5 linked regions of the Macaca fascicularis genome follow. The protein of the gene in region 2 interacts with the protein of the main gene of each other region in a pairwise test. Links are inferred from orthologs where the notes say so. Each region holds a gene or a part of one and is shown on either strand. Other genes may lie near its edges.

The links.
Region 1: the proteins of TRIM54 (region 2) and UTP14C interact in a two-hybrid assay, tested with the Homo sapiens proteins (2 studies listed by BioGRID and IntAct). The two-hybrid records come from large-scale screens. The link is inferred for Macaca fascicularis from reciprocal best matches to the Homo sapiens genes TRIM54 and UTP14C.
Region 3: the proteins of TRIM54 (region 2) and USHBP1 interact in binary tests that used the Homo sapiens proteins (3 or more experiments, as listed by UniProt). The two-hybrid records come from large-scale screens. The link is inferred for Macaca fascicularis from reciprocal best matches to the Homo sapiens genes TRIM54 and USHBP1.
Region 4: the proteins of TRIM54 (region 2) and SCNM1 interact in binary tests that used the Homo sapiens proteins (3 or more experiments, as listed by UniProt). The two-hybrid records come from large-scale screens. The link is inferred for Macaca fascicularis from reciprocal best matches to the Homo sapiens genes TRIM54 and SCNM1.
Region 5: the proteins of TRIM54 (region 2) and LENG1 interact in binary tests that used the Homo sapiens proteins (3 or more experiments, as listed by UniProt). The two-hybrid records come from large-scale screens. The link is inferred for Macaca fascicularis from reciprocal best matches to the Homo sapiens genes TRIM54 and LENG1.

The regions. Positions count from the first base shown.
Region 1 is NC_088391.1:31,198,666-31,202,975, forward strand, and holds the start of UTP14C (U3 small nucleolar RNA-associated protein 14 homolog C), read left to right. Parts: upstream 1-1,327; 5' UTR 1,328-1,544; coding exon 1,545-3,857; 3' UTR 3,858-4,310. Other genes in the region: ALG11 (GDP-Man:Man(3)GlcNAc(2)-PP-Dol alpha-1,2-mannosyltransferase), read left to right, coding at 1,056-1,327. UniProt on the Homo sapiens protein: Essential for spermatogenesis. May be required specifically for ribosome biogenesis and hence protein synthesis during male meiosis.
Region 2 is NC_088387.1:94,920,810-94,924,584, forward strand, and holds part of TRIM54 (tripartite motif-containing protein 54), read right to left. Parts: intron 1,786-3,775; coding exon 1,613-1,785; intron 1,110-1,612; coding exon 938-1,109; intron 1-937. UniProt on the Homo sapiens protein: May bind and stabilize microtubules during myotubes formation.
Region 3 is NC_088393.1:17,583,437-17,587,970, reverse strand, and holds the start of USHBP1 (harmonin-binding protein USHBP1), read left to right. Parts: upstream 1-1,551; 5' UTR 1,552-1,994; coding exon 1,995-2,048; intron 2,049-2,143; coding exon 2,144-2,292; intron 2,293-2,593; exon of another isoform or gene 2,594-3,312; coding exon 3,313-3,751; intron 3,752-4,534.
Region 4 is NC_088375.1:110,052,807-110,057,035, reverse strand, and holds the start of SCNM1 (sodium channel modifier 1), read left to right. Parts: upstream 1-1,246; 5' UTR 1,247-1,255; coding exon 1,256-1,306; exon of another isoform or gene 1,307-1,355; intron 1,356-1,580; coding exon 1,581-1,651; intron 1,652-2,007; coding exon 2,008-2,096; intron 2,097-2,193; coding exon 2,194-2,291; intron 2,292-2,398; coding exon 2,399-2,487; intron 2,488-3,502; exon of another isoform or gene 3,503-3,521; coding exon 3,522-3,716; intron 3,717-4,229. Other genes in the region: LYSMD1 (lysM and putative peptidoglycan-binding domain-containing protein 1), read right to left, coding at 183-362. UniProt on the Homo sapiens protein: As a component of the minor spliceosome, involved in the splicing of U12-type introns in pre-mRNAs. Plays a role in the regulation of primary cilia length and Hedgehog signaling.
Region 5 is NC_088393.1:61,961,851-61,966,100, forward strand, and holds the start of LENG1 (leukocyte receptor cluster member 1), read right to left. Parts: upstream 2,984-4,250; 5' UTR 2,961-2,983; coding exon 2,829-2,960; intron 1,715-2,828; coding exon 1,535-1,714; intron 779-1,534; exon of another isoform or gene 682-778; coding exon of another isoform or gene 622-681; intron 538-621; coding exon of another isoform or gene 376-537; exon of another isoform or gene 366-375; intron 275-365; coding exon 12-274; exon of another isoform or gene 1-11. Other genes in the region: voltage-gated chloride channel TMC4, read right to left, coding at 3,569-3,637, 3,730-3,808, 4,114-4,250.

The DNA.
Region 1 (4,310 bases), on a different chromosome or scaffold from region 2:
ATGGCTAGGGGTGGGTATTGCAGGACCTGAGGAGAGGCATGTGGCACCCTAGCTTCAATGCTGATAGGAAGGAGCCAGTAGAGAGGGAAAGGGTAAAACTGATTAGATGAAGGTCTCTGAGAAAGTACAGGATGCTCTCCAACCTCAAGCAGAATACGATATGAGCTACTGAATTCTATTCTGCAGGGATTTCACCACTGGTTTAGAAACATTTGGAATTATTTAATTTCTCTCCTATACATCCAGGATGATACCAGCTCTGTACCATCCTTCAGATAATTGGGAAAGCAGTCACTTAAATCATTCTCTGAAGGGCTTAATTCTCCTAGGAATACAGCTAAGAAAGGCTGGCTACATTAATTTATATTTCATGTGTATCATTTGGCAGAAACTAACCACAACTTTCATTTAGTTCAGCACTGTTGTTGGGCACGCAGTAGTCTCAAATATGCCAGAAATCCAGGCAGTAACATAAGCACTGCAATAGTATGCTTCACTTAGGTGATTCGCATTTTTTATTTTTTCTGCTAATGTAATTTGAACTATTAAAATTGTTTTTGATATCTTTTTACTCCTTTTGTTTTTCTAATACCTGTTAATATTCTACCATCTTGCTAACATTCTCTAGTCTTTTTTAATTATCTGCAATATATCTTTTTTAATAGGTTAGTCTTCCATCTACTTGTCTATTTTAACTAAGAATAAAGCAGCAGGCTGGGTGTGGTAGCTCACGCTGGTAAATCCCAGCACTTTGGGAGGCCAAGATGGGAGGACCACTTGAGGCTAGGAGTTAGAGGCCAGCCTGGGCAACATAGTGAGACCCTCTCTCTCCAAAAAAAAAAAAAATTGTATTATTATGAAGCTATGAAAACTAAAAAACTTAAAATTATTTTATTTTGTACTATAGAAGTTAAATAAGCAAATGTCTAGACATATAGACATTTAATTAAGTTTCTCATAAGTCCCTTAAAATTTTTGAAGATTTCTGTTCATCCTCATTCTTATGAACACACTCAAAAACTTAAAATACTACATGATTTTTGTTTTTTTCTCAGGAGTTGTGGAGTGTATGGCAGCTGGCACAATTATCCTTGCACACAATTCAGGGGGCCCAAAGCTTGACATTGTCGTTCCTCACGAAGGAGATATAACTGGCTTTCTGGCTGAGAGTGAAGAAGACTATGCTGAAACTATCGCTCACATTCTTTCCATGTCTGCAGAAAAGAGACTCCAAATCAGAAAAAGTGCTCGTGCATCTGTAAGCAGATTCTCTGATCAGGAATTTGAAGTGACATTCCTATCATCTGTGGAAAAGTTATTTAAGTAATGCCATATCTGGAAAATTAAAGATATTTTATATAAACTGGTTAAACACCTTCATATGTAAATATTTTTCTAAATTCAATCTCATTTGTCAAATCATTTTACTTTAGAAAACAGACAAGAAAATTTCCTTTTAGAATAAAAGGAAGTGTTGAAAAGAAAATGGATGACTAGCCTTCAGCTTCCATTCTTGGTACACATGAGAGAAGCTGGCTGCTGAGATGAATGTGAACCGGGTTGTGGAGAGCCTTCTGGCTTTGAGCCAACAGGAAGAATTAATGGATTTGCCAAAAAACTGCCCCTTGAGTGAGAATGAAGATGAGGGGGACAGTGATGGAGAGAGAAAGCATCAAAAGCTTCTGGAAGCAATCAGTTCCCTTGATGGAAAGAATAGGCGGAAATTGGCTGAGAGGTCTGAGGCTAGTCTGAAAGTGTCAGAGTTCAATGTCAGTTCTGAAGGATCAGGAGAAAAGCTGGTCCTTGCAGATCTCCTTGAGCCTGTTAAAACTACTTCTTCTTTGGCCACTGTGAAAAAGCAACTGAATAGAGTCAAATCAAAGAAGGTGGTGGAGTTACCTCTTAACAAAGAAAAGATTGAACAGATCCACAGAGAAGCAGCATTCGGTAAAACCTCACAAGTCCTCTCTAAATGGGACCCTATCGTCCTGAAGAACCAGCAGGCAGAGCAGCTGGCTTTTCCCCTGGGGAAGGAGCAGCCAGCCATTGCTCCCATTGAACATGCACTCAGTGGCTGGAAGGCAGGAACTCCCCTGGAGCAGGAAATTTTTAACCTCCTCCATAAGAACAAGCAGCCAGTAACAGACCCTTTACTGACTCCCATGGAAAAGGCCTCTCTCCAAGCCATGAGTCTGGAAGAGGCAAAGATGCACCGAGCAGAGCTTCAAAGGGCTCGGGCTCTGCAGTCCTACTATGAGGCCAAGGCTCGAAGAGAGAAGAAAATCAAAAGTAAAAAGTATCACAAAGTCGTGAAGAAAGGAAAGGCCAGGAAAGCCTCAAAAGAGTTGGAGCAGCTGCAGAAGGTTAATCCAACTGTGGCATTGGAAGAACTGGAAAAATTTGAAAATGCCAGAATGATGGAAAGAATGAGCCTTAAGCACCAAAACAGTGGGAAATGGGCCAAGTCAAAGGCAATTATGGCAAAATATGACCTGGAGGCTCGCCAAGCTATGCAGGAACAGTTGGCCAAGAACAAAGAACTGACACAGAAACTCCAGGTAGCCTCTGAGATTGAGGAAGAGGAGGGAGGCACAGAAGAAGTGGAAGAACTCCTTGTCCCCCATGTAGTGAATGAAGTCCAGATGAATGTGGACGGACCAAATCCCTGGATGCTCAGAAGCTGCACCAGTGACACCAGAGAGGCTGCAACCCAGGAGGACCCTGAGCAACTGCCAGAGCCTGCCACCCATGAGGTTTCTGAAAGTGAGGGAGAAAGACCAGTGGCAGAGGAAGAAATTTTGTTGAGAGACTTTGAGGAGAGGCGATCCCTTAGAAAAAGATCTGAGCTCAACCAGGATGCTGAGCCAGCAGGCATTCAAGAAACAAAAGATTCTAGCAGCCAGGAGGTGCTGTCTGAATTGAGGGCACTATCTCAGAAATTGAAGGAAAACCATCAGTCCAGGAAGCAAAAAGCAAGTTCAGAGGGGACTGTTCCCCAGGTCCAGAGAGAGGAACCTGCCCCAGAAGAAGAGGCGCCCCTGTTGCTACAGAGGCCAGAGAGAGTACAAACTGTGGAAGAGCTAGAAGAGCTGGGAAAAGAAGATTGTTTTCAAAATAAGGAGCTTCCCAGACCTGTGTTAGAAGGGCAGCAGTCAGAGAGGACCCCAAATAATCGGCCTGATGCCCCTAAGGAGAAGAAAGAGAAGGAGCAACTGATCGACGTACAGAACCTCCTAACTACACAGTCTCCTTCCGTGAGGTCTTTGGCAGTTCCCACAACAATAGAGGAGCTGGAAGATGAAGAGGAGAGAGACCAAAGGCAGATGATAAAGGAAGCTTTTGCTGGGGATGATGTCATCAGAAATTTCTTGAAAGAGAAGAGAGAAGCTGTGGAGGCGAGTACGCCAAAGGACGTGGACCTGACACTACCTGGCTGGGGCGAGTGGGGTGGTGTGGGCCTAAAGCCTAGTACCAAGAAAAGACGCCAGTTTCTCAAAGCCCCTGAGGGTCCTCCAAGAAAAGATAAGAATTTGCCAAATGTGATTATCAGTGAGAAGCGCAACATCCACGCAGCAGCTCATCAGGTACAAGTGCTTCCATATCCATTTACCCACCATCGGCAATTTGAAAGGACCATCCAGACCCCTGTAGGATCCACATGGAACACCCAGAGGGCTTTCCAAAAGCTGACTACTCCCAAGGTCATCACCAAGCCAGGTCATATCATTAAGCCCATAAAAGCAGAGGATGTGGGCTACCGGTCTTCCTCAAGGTCAGACCTGTCTGTCATACAGTGGAATCCAAAACAAATCACCACACGTCACAGTAAAGAGTTGAAGAAAAACTCTGTAGGTTGAGTAGCTGGAAAAGTGACAGCTAGGAGTTCTGATTCCACTTCCTTTGGTCCAGTTTTACTCTGCTACAGGGTGGATTCCAGAACTGGCTCAGCACATTGCATGTAGTTGAGCCACATTTTTAAAAAAAGAAAATGGATGACCATTAATTGACTAGCATTTTAGAATTGATCAGACATTAGAACACAGAAAAATGCTGGTACATTTACATTCTAAACAATACAGTGGATGACCCTTTTGAATATACCTAATGATTTCCTTTAAAAAGAAATTTTAAACAGACTTGTGTAATCATGTTCTCAAAGCATACAGTCAAGAGGTGGGACTGACTGATGCTTTATAGGTGTGTGTAGGGCAGTAGAGGCCAAGGTGCTGCCAACAGTCCTTTCCATACTAGGTACTGGTGAAAATTGTTTTTGTTTAGTGCTATCAGCACATTTGTGTGGGTCTCATTAT
Region 2 (3,775 bases):
TCTCTACTAAAAATACAAAAAATTAGCTGAACATGGTGGTAGACACCTATAATCCCAGCTACTCAGGAGGCTGAGGCAGGAGAATCGCTTGAACCCAGGAGGCAGAGGTTACAGTGAGCCGCGATTGCGCCACTGCACTCCAGCCTGGGCAACAAGAGCGAAACTCTGTCTCAAATAAATAAATAAATAAGCTGGGCATGGCGGCACATGCCTGTAGTTCCAGCTACTCGGGAGACTGAGGTGGTAGGGATCACGTGAGCCCAGGAGTTCAAGGCTGCTGCAGTGAATCACAATCATAGCAGTGCATCCCAGCCTGGGCGACAGAGATCCCCACATCTCTTCAAAAATAAATGAATGGAACTGGGCACAGTGGCTCACGCCTGTAATTCCAGCACTTTGGGAGGCCAAGGTGGGCAGATCACATGAAGCCAGGAATCAAAAAAAAAAAAAACAAAAAAACAAAAAAACAAAAAAACTGGGCGTGGTGGCACACACCTGTAATCCCAGGTACATGGAAGGCTGAGGCATAAGAACGGCTTGAACCCGGGAGGCTGAGGTTGCTATGAGCCAAGATTGCACCACTGCACTCCAGCCTGGGTGACAGTGCGAGACTCCATCTCAAAATAGATAGATAGATAGATAGATAGATAGATAGATAGATAGATAGATAGATAATAGATAGGGCTGAGTGCAGTGGCTCACATCTATAATCTTAGTGTTCTGGGAGGCTAAGACGGGAGGATCACTTGAGCTCAGGAGATCAAGGCTGCAGTAAGTTGTGTTTGTGCCACTGCACTCCAGCCTGGGCAACAGAGTGAGATCCTGTCTCTAAATAAATAAAGAAATAAACAAATGATAAGTGGAATAAGAGGCTGACATTGAGACCCTGTCCTAAGCCCCCATCTCCCACACATCTACTCCCTCCCCTGTTTGATACCTTCTGGCGTTTGTAAATGGTGGGCAGTGGGGCCACCTCACAGTCCTTGTGGGCACCGAAGACCTTGCAGAGAGAGCAGGTGGGCACCTCACAGCTCAGGCAGTAGATATTGATCTTCTCCTCTTCATGCTCCTCGCACATGAGGTGCTGCTCAGCCTTGGAGTGCAGCGGCCTAGAGAGGAGTGGGCAGGGGGAGGTGGACCTTAAGCATGAAGGGTCCTAGGAACACCTTCTCTTCAGCCTCCACCAACTACCACCCCTTCTCCACCCCTGCAGCTAGTGCTGTGGCTGAACTGGTGAGTACTTCCACAGAGCTCTGAGTTTGGGGAATAGAAGGAGCTAAGAGATAGAGAAGGCCTGGATCCAAGAATAGTCTGTATTTCAGGGGGCAGGGAAGTCCCACAGGACAGGAAGTCTTGGAGGGTTGGCGAGGATCTTGCTGGTGGACTGCCAGCCTCTCCCAGGAGGAGAGGGTAGGAGTGAAGTACTGGCTAGGGAATCAGGGACTGCCCTCTCTGGGAGGCCTGAGGCAATCCCTCTCCGGATCCAGTCCTATTGTCTCTAGACAGAACAGGCGGGTTGACGGTTTCAGTCTCTCCCTTCTGGCTCTGATGGGTTCCTTGGCTGTGTCCCAAGCCCTGACATTTAGAGAGGCAAGAGACCCTGGCGGCTCACCTGGACGACTCCTGCTTGTAAATGTCAATAATGTTCTCCACTAGCAGGTTTCGCTGCAGGCCGTAGACACCGTGTCTGTCCAGGACAACCTCATGCCTGCAAGATGGGCAGCGGAAACGGCCTCCTGAAGACACAGTGGTGGAGCCCCGGGACTGCCACAGAGGATTCGAGGCCTGCAGGGACAGATGGCTTGAGAGAACAGGCACGGGGAGGCATGAAGGGACTCAGAGGAGGCAGGGGGAAAGGGATTGGGGGCTAGGGAGTAGGAATATGATAGAGGGGAAGATGTCAGCTCTTCTCTGTGGCTGGATCCACCTCTGAGAGCAGCGCAGGGTGTACGGCTATGGAGACCCTGCTTCCCACCTTTGCCTCATTACTCAGCCCACCTCCTAGAGTGCCCCTGCATCTAGAGACCAGCTTTGGTAAAGGTGTAGTCAGGCTGGGATCTCTCCAAAGGGGCCCATCTTGGAGCTGTGGGGAGACATTGGCCTTGGCAATAAGGCTGAGGCAGGAAATGGACTCTGAGTGGTGCGGCCAGTGTCTTCCAGTCTGGGGCCCTCTTGAGCCACATCTGGGGGGAGATTCTCTGCAGTCCTGGGGAGGGGTACAGCAGACACAAGTGCTCAACAATGGGGCTCACAAACAGTAACTAGCCAGGTAATTCTCTGATGCCTTTTTTTTTTTTTTTTTTTGAGACAGGGTCTCTCTCTGATGCCCAGACTGGAGTACAGTGGTGGGATCACAGCTCACTGCAGCCTCAACCTCCTGGGCTCAAGCAATCCTCCCATCTCAGCCTTTTGAGTAGCTGGGACTACAGGTATGTACCACCATGCTCAGATAATTTTTTTAATTTTTAGTAGAGATGAAGTATCACTATGTTGCCCAGGCTGGTCTTAAACTCCTGACCTCAAGCGACCCTCCCGCCTTGGCCTCCCAAATTGCTGAGATTATAGGCATGAGCCACCATGCCCAACCTCTTAACTATATAAATTTAGGCAGGTATTCAACCACTGTAAAGCTGAGGATAAAATTAGATTATTCATTTATAGTGTGCCAGGTAGTTGCTAGACTCTGAGTTAAAGATACAAGGAAAATGCATCCTGCTCTAAGGACAAGCACCCAACAACTGCATCCAGCAGGATGGGTGTTGTGACAGGGGTAAGTTCAGAAGGAGGACTTAACAGACACCCATCACTTCCTCCCGCTTACATCTCTTTCCTAGAGAAGTTGCTCCATCCTCTCCTAGAAGACAGATCCGTGCCACAGATGACTGATTCAGAGCTAAGGAGGTGATCACCTGACCCAAGCAGAACCAATTAAATGTTCTCTCCTAAGAATCTGCACTTGAGACTCAGGGGCTTAGCTGGCTGCACCATGTGCTGCTTACGAACTGAACAGACCTGTGGAATTGGGCTAAGAGCTGACATCATGGCCACCCTGGAAAGTGTGAGGGGTCATAAACTCTGAACAGAGAAGGCTGGTCTACAGAGAAAAGAGTCTATGCGTGGGGAGATGCAGAGATGAAAGACTGGCAGACACTGCTTATTGTTCCTGGACGTTCACCACCTTTTCTTCTTTAATAATAAGGGCGCTGAGTTTTAACAAGACACATGGTATAAAGGGCTGGGTGTGGTGGCTCACACCTGTAGTCCCAGCACTTTGGGAGGCCGAGGTGGGCAGATCACTTGAGCTCAGGAGTTTGAGACCAGCCTGGGCAACATAGCAAGAACTCATCTTTACTAAAAATAAAAAAATTAGCTGGGCACGGTGGTGCACACCTGTAGTCCCAGCCACTCAGGAAGCTGAGGCAGGAGAATTGCTTGAAACCAGAAGACGGAGGCTGCAGTGAGCTGAGATAGTACCACTGCACTCCAGTCTGAGCAACAGAGGCAGACTCCATCTCAAAAAAACAAACAAACGAAAACCGTGAATCTAAGCCTCCCTTCCAACTGGGTGTGGCCAGTTGGCTGTGCTCTGGAATGTATATGCAAATGTTTCGTGTAATTTGTAGGAAATTGCATAAACCGTCTTTCAAGGGAGGGGCATGCCCTGCTCCTCCCCTTTTCTCCTGCCTGCTGACTGGAAAGAAGATGGGATGGCTCAAGTTGAAGCAGCCATCTTGAGTCATGAAATGGTAGCCACATGTTGAAAATGGTAACGAGA
Region 3 (4,534 bases), on a different chromosome or scaffold from region 2:
AAAAAATTATCCGGGTGTGGTGGTGCACACCTGTAATCACAGCTACTCGGAAGGCTGAGGCAGAAAAATCGCTTGAACCCAGGAGGTGGAGGTTGCAGTGAGCCGAGATCCCGCCACTGCACTCCAGCCTGGGTGACAGAGCAAGATTCCATCTAAAAAAATAAAATAAATAAATAAACTGAGGCTTCAAGTGGCTCTTAAACATTTCTGGGGCTGGTGGGGTGGATGACTCATGCCTGTAATCCCAACACTTTGGGAGGGTGAGGCAGGTGGATCACCTGAGTTCAGGAGTTTAAGAGCAGCCTGGCCAACATGGCAAAAACCCATCTCTAGCCGGGTGCAGTGGCTCACGCCTGTAATCCCAGCACTTTGGGAGGCCAAGGCCGGCGGATTACTTGAGGTCAGGAGTTCAAGACCAGCCTGGCCAACATGGTAAAACCCTGTCTCTACTAAAAACACAAAAATTAACCAGGCGTTGTGGTGGGCACTTGTAATCCCAGCTACTCGGCAGGCTGAGGCAGGAGAATTGCTTGAACCCAGGAGGTGGAGGATGCAATGAGATCGCACCGCTGCACTCCAACCTGGGCGACAGAGCGAGACTCCATCTCAAAAAAAAAAAAAAAAAAAAAAAAAAGAAGGTTGGGCGTGGTGGCTCACGCCTGTAATCCCAGCACTTTGGGAGGCCAAGGCAGGTGGATCACGAGGTCAGAAGATCGAGACCATCGTAGCTAACACGGCGAAACCCCGTCTCTACTAAAAATACAAAAAAATTAGGTGGGCGTGGTGGCGGGTGCCTGTAGTCCCAGCTACTCGGGAAGCTGAGGCAGGAGAATGGTATGAACCCGGGAGGCAAAGGTTGCAGTGAGCCAATATCGCACCACTGCACTCCAGCCTGGGCGACAGAGCGAGAAGAGAACTGTCAGCCCACAGTGAAGAGACAGGCAGAGAAGAAGAGTTCACAGGGGAGCCAAATAAAAGCCATATCAGCTCAGGGGAACATTCTAGCTCTTTTTTTTTTCTTTCTTTTTGAGACAGGGTGTTGCCTTGTTACCCAGACTGGAGTGCAGTGGCGTGACCATGGCTCACTGCAGCCTCAACTTCCAGGTGTTAAGCAATCCTCCCACCTCAGCCTCCCGAGTAGCTGGGACTACAGGCATATGACACCACTCCTGGCTAATTTTTATATTTTATGTAGAGACGGGGGTCTTGCCATGTTGCCCAGGCTTGTCTTAAACTCTTGGGCTCAAGCGATCTGCCTTCCTCAGCTTCCCAGAGTCCTGGGATTACAGGCGTGAGCCATGGTGCTCGGCCCATTCTAGATCTTGAGAAATAAAATCCAAGCGTCAGAGCTAGAAGGGCCATGGGCTTGGAGGCTGAGACGAGGAGGGGCTGAAACCTTGGGAGTCAGGTATGTGTGCCCCGCTAGGGCTGCAGGAAGCTGCTGTCCTCAAAAAGGAAACAACACAATAACAAGTCACATGACCAGGGGAGTGGGTTCCTGTTTCCTGGTCCCTCCCAGGCCAGGCTTGGCCAGCCCAGGCCTGACCAGGCAGTGGCCAGAGTGACCCCAAGACGGCGTCCAGGGACTCAGGCCTCTGATCAAGTTACCCCCAGAAGATCAGAGAGGTAGAGAGCTGAACCCGTCATTTAGGAGGGCCGCGGAGGAGAGGGAATTATTGAGATTGCATTTCCAGGCTCAAAGAGAGGAGGGAAGGGGACAAAGACGTAGTGAAGGTAAAGAAGGCAGAGAAGAAGGGGGAGATCCAGACAACCTTGTTAGGTAGTGAGCTGCCTGTCCAGGAGGCATTCAAATGTGCCCAATCAACATTGATCACAAAATCCCTTCCTGAGGGGTAGTCAATGTCCCATTTCACAGCAGAGGAAATTGAGGTTGTCCTTTGTCCAGGACAACAAAGGCAAGAGGTCATGGCAGGCTGTGGTTTTAGGGGTTGACGAAGGAGAAGCATTCAGAGAGCACTGGCTTCTGGACAGCAATGAGTGCCCGGGCCACGCGGCCCCGAAGCCGGCGAGGGAGGCATGCTCCACCCGTAAGTGTCGCCCTCTCCCCTCCACACCCAGCTCCTGGGGACCCCAAGGTCCCATCCTGCCTGGCTCAGAGCGGGGCCACGGGGGTCATTTGCAGGGTGAACTGGACCCCGTGGCTGAGAGTTCAGAGGAGATTGAGGCAGCCAGTGGGAGCTCCAAGCTCAGCTTTGCCCCACCTCCTGTGAGCTCCGGGCTGGAACAGCTGGGCCCCATGGAGGAGGTCAGTGGCCAAGGCCTAGGAAGCAGGTAAGACCCCCTTGGTCTGTGCCCTTCACTCCAGTCCACATGCATCTTTGCCATCTGCAGATCTGCTGATGTGCCCTCTCTGCTCACACACCTACCATAGCTCCCTGTTGCCTTCAGCCTGACTTTCTTTTCTTTTTTTTGAGTCTTGCTCTGTCACCCAGGCTGCAGTGCAGTGGCACAATCTCCACTCACAGCAATCTCTGCCTCCTGGGTTCAAGAGGGAGCCTCAGCTTCCCGAGTAGCTGGGATTACAGGTGTGTGCCACCACACCCAGCTAATTTTTGTATTTTTAGTGAGACAGGGTCTTGCCACGTTAGCCAGGCTGGTCTTGAACTCCTGACCTCAGGTGATCCCCCCACTTCGGCCTCCGAAAGTGCTGGGATTACAAGTGTGAGTCGCTGCCCCAGAAGACCCCATTTCCAGAATCTTCTGTCTCTCACCTTCAGGACTTTCCCACTGCCCGTCACAGTCCAACTTACTATTCACTCTGCTTCGTAGCCCCAGGTCTCCCCTCCAACTTCTCCACCACCTCTGTCCAGCCTCTTCCCTGAATTCCCAGCCTCCCAGTCTCTCCCTGGGATGCAAGTCCCAGAACACGCAGCTCTTGCCAACTCTGCCCCGCTCACACCTCCCGAAGACCATGAAGTTTAAGCCCTAAGAATTCCCTGCCCTGGGCTGAGCGTTGTGGCCCATGCCTGTTATCGCAGAACTTTGGGAGGCCAAGTCGGGCGAATCACCTGAGGTCAGGAGTTTGACATCAGCCTGGCCAACATGGTGAAACCCTGTCTCTACTAAAAATACAAAAATTAGCCGGGCGTGGTGGTGGGCACCTGTAATCCCAGCTACTTGGGGGACTGAGGCAGGAGAATCACTTGAACCCAGGAGGTGGAGGTTGCAGTCAGCTGAGATCGCACCACTGCACTCCAGCCTGGGCAACAGAGTGAGACTCTGTCTCAAAAAATAAAAAAGAATTCCCTGCCCAGCATGGAGCGACTCAAGTGCCTGAGTTGGTGTCCACAGGACCGACAAGAAGACGGATGGGGGCTCTGGCAGGGGACTGGCCTCAGCCCCCGAGGTGCCCCACAAACCTGCAGTGGAAGCCTACCAGGCCCCAGAAGCAGCCCTACAGTACAAGGAGACTGTGCCCCCTGGGATTGGGGCCCCCGATGTGTTTCAGACCCTCCAGCACGCTCTGAGCTCCCTGGAGGCAGCGGCTGCAGCCTGGCGCCACCGGCCCCCCAGCCATCCTGGGCCAATGGAGTTGGAAGACACAAGCAAAGGGGGACCAGGTCCCCTTGGGAAGCAGGAAGGGGCAGGGAGCAGCCAGCGAGAGGCAGCTCGCCTGGCTGAGAGGAATGCCTGGCTCCGGCTGGCCCTGAGTAGCCGAGAGGATGAGCTGGTCCGCACGCAGGCCTCCCTGGAGGCCATCCGAGCTGAGAAGGAGACGCTGCAGAAAGAGGTGAGTGGGGCCATCCTGAGTCCTATGTGGCTCTCTGTCTGAGGGAGGAGGCAGGCCCGATGTAGGCAATATTCATTCATCTGTTCATTCCAAAAACCTTTTGAGGCTGGGTGTGGTGGCTCACGCCTATAATCCCAGCACTTTGGGAGATGGAGGCAGGAGGATCCTTTGAGGCCAGGAGTTCAAGACCAGCCTGGGCAACACAGCAAGACCCCTACCTCTGCAAAAAATAAAAAATAAAAATCAGCCAGGTTGGCCAGGCACGGTGGCTCACACCTGTAATCCCAGCACTTTGGGAGGCTGAGGTGGGCGTATCACAAAGTCAGGAGTTCAAGACCAGCTTGGCCAACATGGTGAAACCCCATCTCTACTAAAAATAAAAATAAATAAATAAATAAAAGCCAGGTGTGGTGGCATATGCCTGTAATTCCAGCTACTCAGGAGGCTGAGGCAGGAGAATCACTTGAACCCGGGTGATGGAGGTGGCAGTGAGCTGAGATCACATCAATGTACTCCAGTCTGGAGAACAGAGTGAGACTCTGTCTAAAAAAAAAAAAAAAAAAAAAAAAAAAAATCAGCCAGGTTGGCTGGGTGCGGTGGCTCATGCCTGTAATCTACACCAGCACTGTGGGAGGCCAAGGTGGGTGGATCCCTTGAGGCCAGGAGTTAGAGACCAGCCTGACCAATATGGTGAAACCCTGTCTTTACTAAAAATACAAAAATTAGCCAGGTGTGGTGGCACGTGCCTGTAATCCCAGCTACTCAGGAGGCTGAGGCAGGAGA
Region 4 (4,229 bases), on a different chromosome or scaffold from region 2:
TAGAGCAGAACTTGTCCCAACCACGCAGTGCAACACTGTGATGGGAAAACAAAGATAAAGGCAGAACAGAGTTCAACACATTAGGAACATTTCAGGGGAGGTTACCTAGAAGGTCCACTACATTCTTCTCAGGACTAAATCCCTCCTGACTCTTGTCTGCACCCCAATCCTGGAAAACTCACCGTCACCCCATATTTGAGTGCTAGTCCAGCCAGGGTGTCTCCGGGCTCCAACTGATGCTCCAGGCGTCTTTCCCTCACTGGGGAGCAGGCCGATTGCACCAGGCTTCCATATGAACGAGCCCGGCTCCCGTGAAGCAGTCCTGACCCCCCTGGCGGGGGCTGTCTAGACGGGGAAGCCATCTCTTCACCCTGCCGACAGCTAGGTTGCAACTAGGGGAGGCCCGACCGAGACTGCGAGTGACAGGCCTGAAGTCTGGGAATAGATATTCAGGGGATTCCTTTCCCCTTCTCTCTTCCCCTGTGTCCCCGCCTCCCCAGCACTACGCCACCTGCCCCCTCCCGGTTTCTCCTCCCTCCAACTCCTTATCCACAAATCTGTCCCTTGAGTATTCAGTCCCTCCCTGATTCGCCCCTAAGCACCCCTCCGACTTTGAACTCCCCCACAACTCCTCGCTACATTGACCTCTGACCTTTGAACTCTAGAAATAATCCTCAACACTCTTTCCTCAGTTTGCCCCCAAGTAGCCTGGCCTCAGGGCGCTCCCACATCCCAGCTCTGCCCGGTCCCGGGGTTTGTTTGCTAGAGCCAGGAACAAATCAGGCCCACCCCAGGTGAACTGTCGCCGCAGACGAAGAGCGTGAGGATTGCGAGAATTTGTAGTACACCTTCCACTCAGAGATCCTCACAGGTCCGCTCCGCATCAGATAGGTCACACCCTCAAATTTCGGCTCCACATCTAGGTTCTTGTCCCTCTAAACGCCTCAGATCCACCAAGATGCAAGGGCCTGGATCCAGCTGAGCGGCAAGGTCTTTGAGGAAAAGACTTCATTTCCCAAAAGGCGTCGCGTCTGCAGAGTCGCACGGCACCATAGGAAATGCAGTTCCCTCCACGCGCCAGAGAGTGGATATCCGGATGGCGCAATGCATGCGTGGAAGTGCATTCCCGGAAGTACGGGGGCCGACAGGAAGACAAAGAGAAAAGAGAAGGCGCTGTCCCGCTCTTGCTACGGTGGCCTAGAGGAGTGGCGAAACCGGAACAAGAAAATTTATCACTCTGGGACTCACAGTCGTGATGTCTTTCAAGAGGGAAGGAGACGATTGGAGTCAACTCAATGTGCTCAAAGTAAGCGTGAGCGGAGAGGATCTGCAGCCTCTTCAGTCGCTCTCTGAAGGTTGGGAAGGAGCGTTGTTTCATTGCTCTGGCAACAACTCGGGGGTGCAGGAGAGAACCAGGCGACTTAGAGCTGTGTAGTGACTCCTTTTTCGGTCTATGATCGCTGTTCTCCCCAGGGTCCTTATGTCCTTATTCCGTTTGACTCCTCATTTCTGTCATTTAACTTCCATCCCTCTCTCCTATCCTGCTGATCCGTCCGGATTTCTTCCCCTACTCCCTGCAGAAAAGAAGAGTCGGGGACCTCCTCGCCAGTTACATCCCAGAGGATGAGGCGCTGATGCTTCGGGATGGACGGTAAGAGCGAGGAGTGGCTCAAGCCTGAGGGTTTTGCGGTTAGAGGCTCAATAGCTGTGTTGCCCAGGCTGTCCTTGAACTCTAGGGCTCAAGTGATCCTGCCTCCTCAGCGTCGCGATTAGCTGGGATTACAGGCGCACGCCACCACGCCCGGCTTCAACAAACTTTTGTTATTAATTAGGACAGCAGAAGTATCTAGGATTCTTTGGCGGCTAGTGAGGACTGGAAGAAGTGGAGATTGGGTCACCAGGGAGTTGGGTTTTGCAAAGACTGCTAGGACAGGGTGGGACTTACGGCAGGGACAGGCCCAACCCTCTTCCCCTGGACCAGTTATCCTCTTCTCTACCCCTGCTCAGCTTTGCTTGTGCCATCTGCCCCCATCGACCGGTACTGGACACCCTGGCCATGCTGACTGCCCACCGTGCAGGCAAGAAACATCTGTCCAGTAAGTTCGGGGGAAGACAGGGGATGGGGAATAAATCGAAATCTCTGCACACCAGCCTTGGTGCTATGCTTTTAATTCTGTTTCCCTTTCTCTTCAGGCTTGCAGCTTTTCTATGGCAAGAAGCAGCCGGGAAAGGAAAGGAAGCAGAATCCAAGACATCAGAATGAATTGAGGAGGGAAGAAACCAAAGCTGAGGTAATCAGAGAGTGGAGAGTGTGTTCTAGGCAAGACCCTGCTGCACACACCAGGCTGGAAGGGCAGAGGGCTGAAGGCTCTGACTCTGTCTCCCATCTTCTTACCAGGCTCCTCTGCTAACCCAGACACGACTTATCACCCAGAGTGCTCTGCACAGAGCTCCCCACTATAACAGTTGCTGCCGCCGGAAGTACAGGTATGGGAGGGGAAAGCCAGAGGTAGGAAGGCTCGGAAGGAGATAGAGGGCTCTGAAAGTGTTTTCCAGTCTGTATTCTGAGGAATACTAGCGTTCTGGAGATGTTACTTAGTGTTTCAAGAAAAGGAGAATTTTGGCCGGGCACGGTGGCTCACACCGGTAATCCCAGCACTTTTGGAGGCTTAGGCGGTGGATCACTTGAGATCAGGAGTTCAAGACCAGCCTGGCCAACATGGTGAAACCCCGTCTCTACCAAAAATATAAAAAATTAGCTGGGTGTGTGGTGTGTGCCTGTAATCCCAGCCACTCAAGAGGCTGAGGTGGAAGAATTGCTTGAATCCGGGAGGCAGAGGTTGCTGTGAGCCAGGATCATACCACTTCACTCCAGCCTAGGTGACAGAGTGAGACTCCATCTCAAAAGAAAAAGAAAAGGAGAATTTTGTGATTTTTAAATAAAGTTTGGGAAATGGCACTTTGTAATTCTACTTGAAGAGTAACAGTTTTAGGCCGGGCGCAGTGGCTCAAGCCTGTAATCCCAGCACTTTGGGAGGCCGAGACGGGTGGATCGCGAGGTCAGAAGATCGAGACCATCCTGGCTAACACGGTGAAACCCCGTCTCTACTAAAAAATACAAAAAACTAGCCGGGTGAGGTGGCGGGCGCCTGTATCCCAGCTACTCGGGAGGCTGAGGCAGGAGAATGGCGTAAACCCGGGAGGCGGAGCTTGCAGTGAGCTGAGATCTGGCCACTGCACCCCAGCCTGGGTGACAGAGCAAGACTCCATCTCAGAAAAAAAAAAAAAAAAAAAAAGAGTAACAGTTTTAAAAGCTATACAAAGTCTTAAGAATTAAAAAAAAAACTTGTAAAATTTAAAGCTAGCCTTTCCCAAATTCATGATTCTAAAATCCTTTGTATGCAGAACTTACTAATATCTTGAAAAATATAGTTTAAGAAACACTGTTTTAAGAGGTTGGGAGTCATAGGAGAGTTGGCCCTTTCCCTTACTGCTTTTACAGACTATTCTTCTCTACCTAGACCAGAAGCCCCTGGTCCCTCTGTCTCCCTTTCTCCTGTGCCACCCTCAGAGGTCGAACTCCAAAGCGGGAAGATCAGTAGGGAACCTGAACCTGGGGCTGGCCCACAGGCTGAGGAGTCAGCAACTGTCTCAGCCCCTGCACCCATGAGCCCCACAAGAAGACGAGCCCTGGACCATTATCTCACCCTTCGAAGGTGAGTGTGCCTAATCAGTTTCCTCAGATTTTCTTTTCTCTCTGACCCTTCTTGTTTCAAAGCTTTTTTTTTTTTTTTTTTTTTTTGAGACGGAGTCTCGCTCTGTCACCAGGCTGGAGTGCAGTGGTGTGATCTCATCTCAGCTCACTGCAACCTCCGCCTCCCAGGTTCAAGCGATTCCCCTGCCTCAACCTCTCGAGTAGCTGGGATTACAAGCATGTGCCACCATGCCTGGCTTATTTTTTGTATTTTAGTAGAGGCGGGGTTTCACTACGTTGGTGAGGATGGTCTCAATCTCCTGACCTTGTGATCCACCCACCTCGGCCTCCCAAAGTGCTGGGATTACAGGCGTGAGCCACCGTGCCCGCCCCCCAATTTTTTTTTTTTTTTTTTTTGAGACAGAGTTTTGTGTGTTCCCCAGGCTGGAGTGCAATGACACAATCTTGGCTCACCACAACCTCCGCCTCCGGGGTTCAAGCGATTCTCTTGCCTCAGCCTCCCAAGTAGCTGGGA
Region 5 (4,250 bases), on a different chromosome or scaffold from region 2:
TTCCTTCTTACTCCTTGGGTCGCAGCTTCTCAGACCCCTCCTTCTTTTCCTTTCTGCTGCAATTGCCTTCACCGCTGTGCCGTCTCTTCTTCCCCAGATGCTTCTGCATCTCCCGAAGAGGGTCCAGACGGCTCTTGATCTTCTCATCTGGGGCTGGGCCAGGAGGGGGCCCCCCTCGCTCTGGGGGTAGCTGGTACCAAGGGGGTTGAGTCTGTGCCTCCGCTGCACTCTGGCCCAGGTATGTCAGGATGCCCAGAGCTTTCTCTTGCCTCTCCTGAGGGGGCCAGGAAATACAAGAGATGGGATATAATCTTTCAAGGTGTCAGGTGTGTCTCCCTGACATAGGAATCTAAGCAAACAGGTACCTAAGGCTTGTCATGAACCAGTTGTACCAGGTGCTGGGGATGGAAGACACCAACAGAGGCCAAGTTCCCCCTGGGGGGACAGTGGCAGGTAACAGCAGGGGAAGGAGGGGACAAGTGGAGCCACTTGAGTGTTCAGAGGCAGGCATCTTTGCAGAGAGACTTGAAGAGAAGCCTGAAGGGATCAAGCAAAGCAGAGGAGCCATGGGTGGGGTCAACAAGTCCAGAGACAGCAGGTGAGTGACAAGAGCTCATGTACCTGTTTTTTTTTGAGATGCAGTCTCGCTCTGTTGCCCAGGCTCGAGTGTAGTGGCACCATCTCGGCTCACTGCAACCTCTGCCTCCCAGGTTCAAGCAATCCTCCTGCCTCAGCCCCCCTAGTAGCTGGGATTACAGGCACGCACCACCATGCCCGGCTAATTTTTGTATTTTTAGTACAGACGGGGTTTTGCCATGTTTGGCCAGGCTGGTCTTGAACTCCTGACCTCAGGTGATCCATCCACCTTGGCCTCCCAATGTGCTGGGATTACAGGTGTGAGCCACCATGCACGACCAGACATACTTTTTACACTTGATCTTAGCCAAAAGGCAAGAGGCGAATGATTCGCCTTTTTTTTTTTTTTTCTTTTTTTTTTTGAGATGGGGTCTCGCTCTGTCACCCGGGCTGGAGTGCAGTGGCGCAATCTCAGCTCACTGCAACTTCCACCTCCCAGGTCAAGCGATTCTCCTGCTTCAGCCTTCAAGTAGCTGGATTACAGGCGTGCACCACCACACTTGGCTTATTTTTTTGTATTCTTAGAGATACCATGTTGACCAGGCTGGTCTTGAACTCCTGACCTCAGGTGATCCACCTGCCTCAGCCTCCCAAAGTGCTGGGATTACAGGCATGAGCCACAGCTGGCTGATTTACATTTTTAAAAGCCTATCAAGGTTTCAGACCCCTCCAGTTTTGAGAACTGAGCAGTTTGCCTGGCAGCTGGGGACCTCTAGCATCTACCTCCAAGCCCTGTGGGTGCCCAGATGGCAACACTTCTTAAGTGTCATGCTTTGGTATGGTTCTAAATTCTGTGTGTTCGTTCTCGTTTGACCTTGATCACAAGCAGTGGCTAAAGTGCCCTCTCCCCCCAACTCGATTCATGGCTCCTCTAATGAAGTGGGTGAGGCCAGCTTACTTTCTCCTGTCGCTTTTCTTCCTCGTACTCTTTATTGCCTCTGATCACTCCTTTCCCTTCCTCCAGCAGCTCCCGAAACAGGTCCACAGGGCCAGAACTTGGGGCTCCCGCCTCTGCTGCTTCAAGCTCAGGCAGTGAGTTCTGATGTCTGGCTTTCTTTCGTAGGAATTCTGTACGGGCCTGGGGAGAAAGTTATAGGCAGGGCATTCAGAACCTAGAGGTGATTCAAGAACTGTGAGTCTGGTGCCCACCACAGAAAATGGCAGTCCAGGGTGCTGGGGTTATAAGAAAGGGAGCACTAGACGCTTAAAAGAGGCACCTGTCCTAGCTGGGGGTGAGGGTAGGCAGATGAGGCAACGCCTGGGTTTTGTAAACTGCCTTTCAAATCGTAAACCACGGGTCATCAAGGATGGCTGGAAGGAGGTCCCTGGCCTAAACCAAAGGGGTTCCTAACCTCAAGTGAGACAATTAAAACAGCCATAAAGGTAGACCAAACTGCATTAGGCCAGACGATCTGAATTCTAGCCATGGCTCCAAGTCACTACCCCAAGTCGACTGCTGAAGCCCTGTCCCCCGCCTTCAGGACGCAGATTTCAAACAGCGCTCAGCAGCCTACTGAGATTCTAAAAACCCAGACTACCTCCCACCCACTGTGGAGGATCAGACTAGCTAAGGAACTGAAAGTTGGGTGTACACCAAACAGATTTAAGGAGCCATACAGAAAGCCCGTGTTTGTGTGTATGTGTCTAGGGGGCGGTGCAGGAAAGGGCTCGCCCGATGGCGTGGAGCCTGGCTGTCCCCCTCTCCTTAAATGTGCCTTCCCCTCACTGAAGCCATCTCACTCCGTGCAACGGAGATGACAGTGCCCCTCTAAGAACGAACAGTGCCTCCTGGGGATTCCGCAAGTCAGGCGCTCTGCATGTAGTTAGCATACAATAGGTGCTCAATAAATAAACTGCGCAGGCAAACTAAAAAGTGATCCGAATTTCCTTGAACTGTCCAAGCGCTCATGTATTCATTAAATGTTTTTAAGCTGCTCTTTTGTGCTAGACACTGTTCCAGCCATGTGAAATACATCAGTGGGGGGAAACTAAGACGAAGGCGAGATCAAGGGAGGTTTCGTGGAAGTGGCCACAAGGTTTGCAGAGCAACGTCCTCGAAAACGGGATCGGCGCCTGGTCCCGAATTTCACACGGGGCACACTGAGCCTGCGCAACGCTTCCGCTTCCGGCCCCCAACCGCGGCGCGTGCGCGCTGGGCTCCGGCGGTCAGCCCGGCCGGCCTCCGAGCTTACCTCTTGCTGAGCCAGCAGCGCCCTCCGCTCACGCTCCTTCTCCTCCTCCCGGGCCTGGGCCTCGTCACGCCGCACGCGGGCGACATTGTCCTTGTTCCGGACGTGCCAGCTCTTCTTGGGCAAGATATTCATGGCGTCGTAGCTGTCCAGGGACTGGCACGCCCGCCTCTTTGCACTTCCGATTGGCGAGAGGATGCCCCCCTTCCTCTTGTCCCTACTTCGACCGCAGATTGGTTCCGAATTAGTTGGTACGGCCCCCTGGCCTGTAACGACAGGTGATTGGCTGAGACGTCCTTTTCACAGCGAATGTTAGGCGTTCGGCTCGTGGTATCCCCTAGCAACCGCCTCTTATCACAGATCTGAACCAATCATAAGTTGGCCCGCCCCGATGCTACCAGATGCGGCCGTCGATTGGTCGACATGACCGTCAAGTCTCCTTGCGGAAGTGCGCTCCGCACCGACAAACATGCCCATACATTTGATTGGCTCCTGCCCTGCGGTAGCCCTGCCCCCACCTTCAGGACGCAGATTTCAAAGCGCGCTCAGCAACCTCGGCTGTATTTATTGATACAAGAAAGATCACCCGAGAGTCAGGGACGTGGCGGCGAGGGGCCCTGGAAATCTCCAGATACCAAAGCTGGAAGGGCGTGGAGTCTTCTCCAGTTCTCCTAGTTTACAGATGTTGTGACCTAGGCTTACAATGGGCCTGGGGTCTGAAAGTGGGGCGTGAGCTGCGGGGGTCAAAGAGCCGGTTCGGTGGAGGTCAGCGCCACAGCGCGCCGTGCCAGGAAGACTTTATTCTGCGCCTCCTGCGGCAAAGAGAGGTGGAGGTGTGACAGCCCTCTTCCCCAGCCCCTCTCCGTGTTCCCCGGGGGCCCTCTCAGGGACCCGCCTGGCTCACCGTCTCCCTCTGACGTTTGAGCTCAGAGATGAGGCGTCCGTAGGAGTTAGCCCGAGCCACAGTGTACGCCATCAGGATGCTGGAGGAGACAGGAACGGAAGCCACTCCTGACACGCTCTTCGAAGTCAGGGATGTGGACCCCTAAGTCCCTCCTCGTCCAGGCTCAAGGAGTTCAGTCTCCCAGCACCTCCGCGTTCAGATCCAGGAGTCCTAAGTCCCGCCCACCTCCTCCTTCGGACCCAGCAGTCCAGGAGCCTAGGCCTCCTCCCTCAGACTCAGTACATCGCCTGCTCCCACCCCCAAGCCTTTCCTCTCTTGGACGCAGGTGGTGGCCCCCAGATCACACGCATTCAAACCCAGACCCAGAAGTCTGGCCCACCTCACCTGGAGATCAGCAGAAGGGGCGCAGCAAAAGCCTGGGTCCCCAGGAAGAAGAGGAAGTTCTGGGTGGTCTCAGGGAGGCTGGAAATAGACTCAGGGATCTGGGCCCAGATGGACGACTGCCCCCGGAATGGACCACA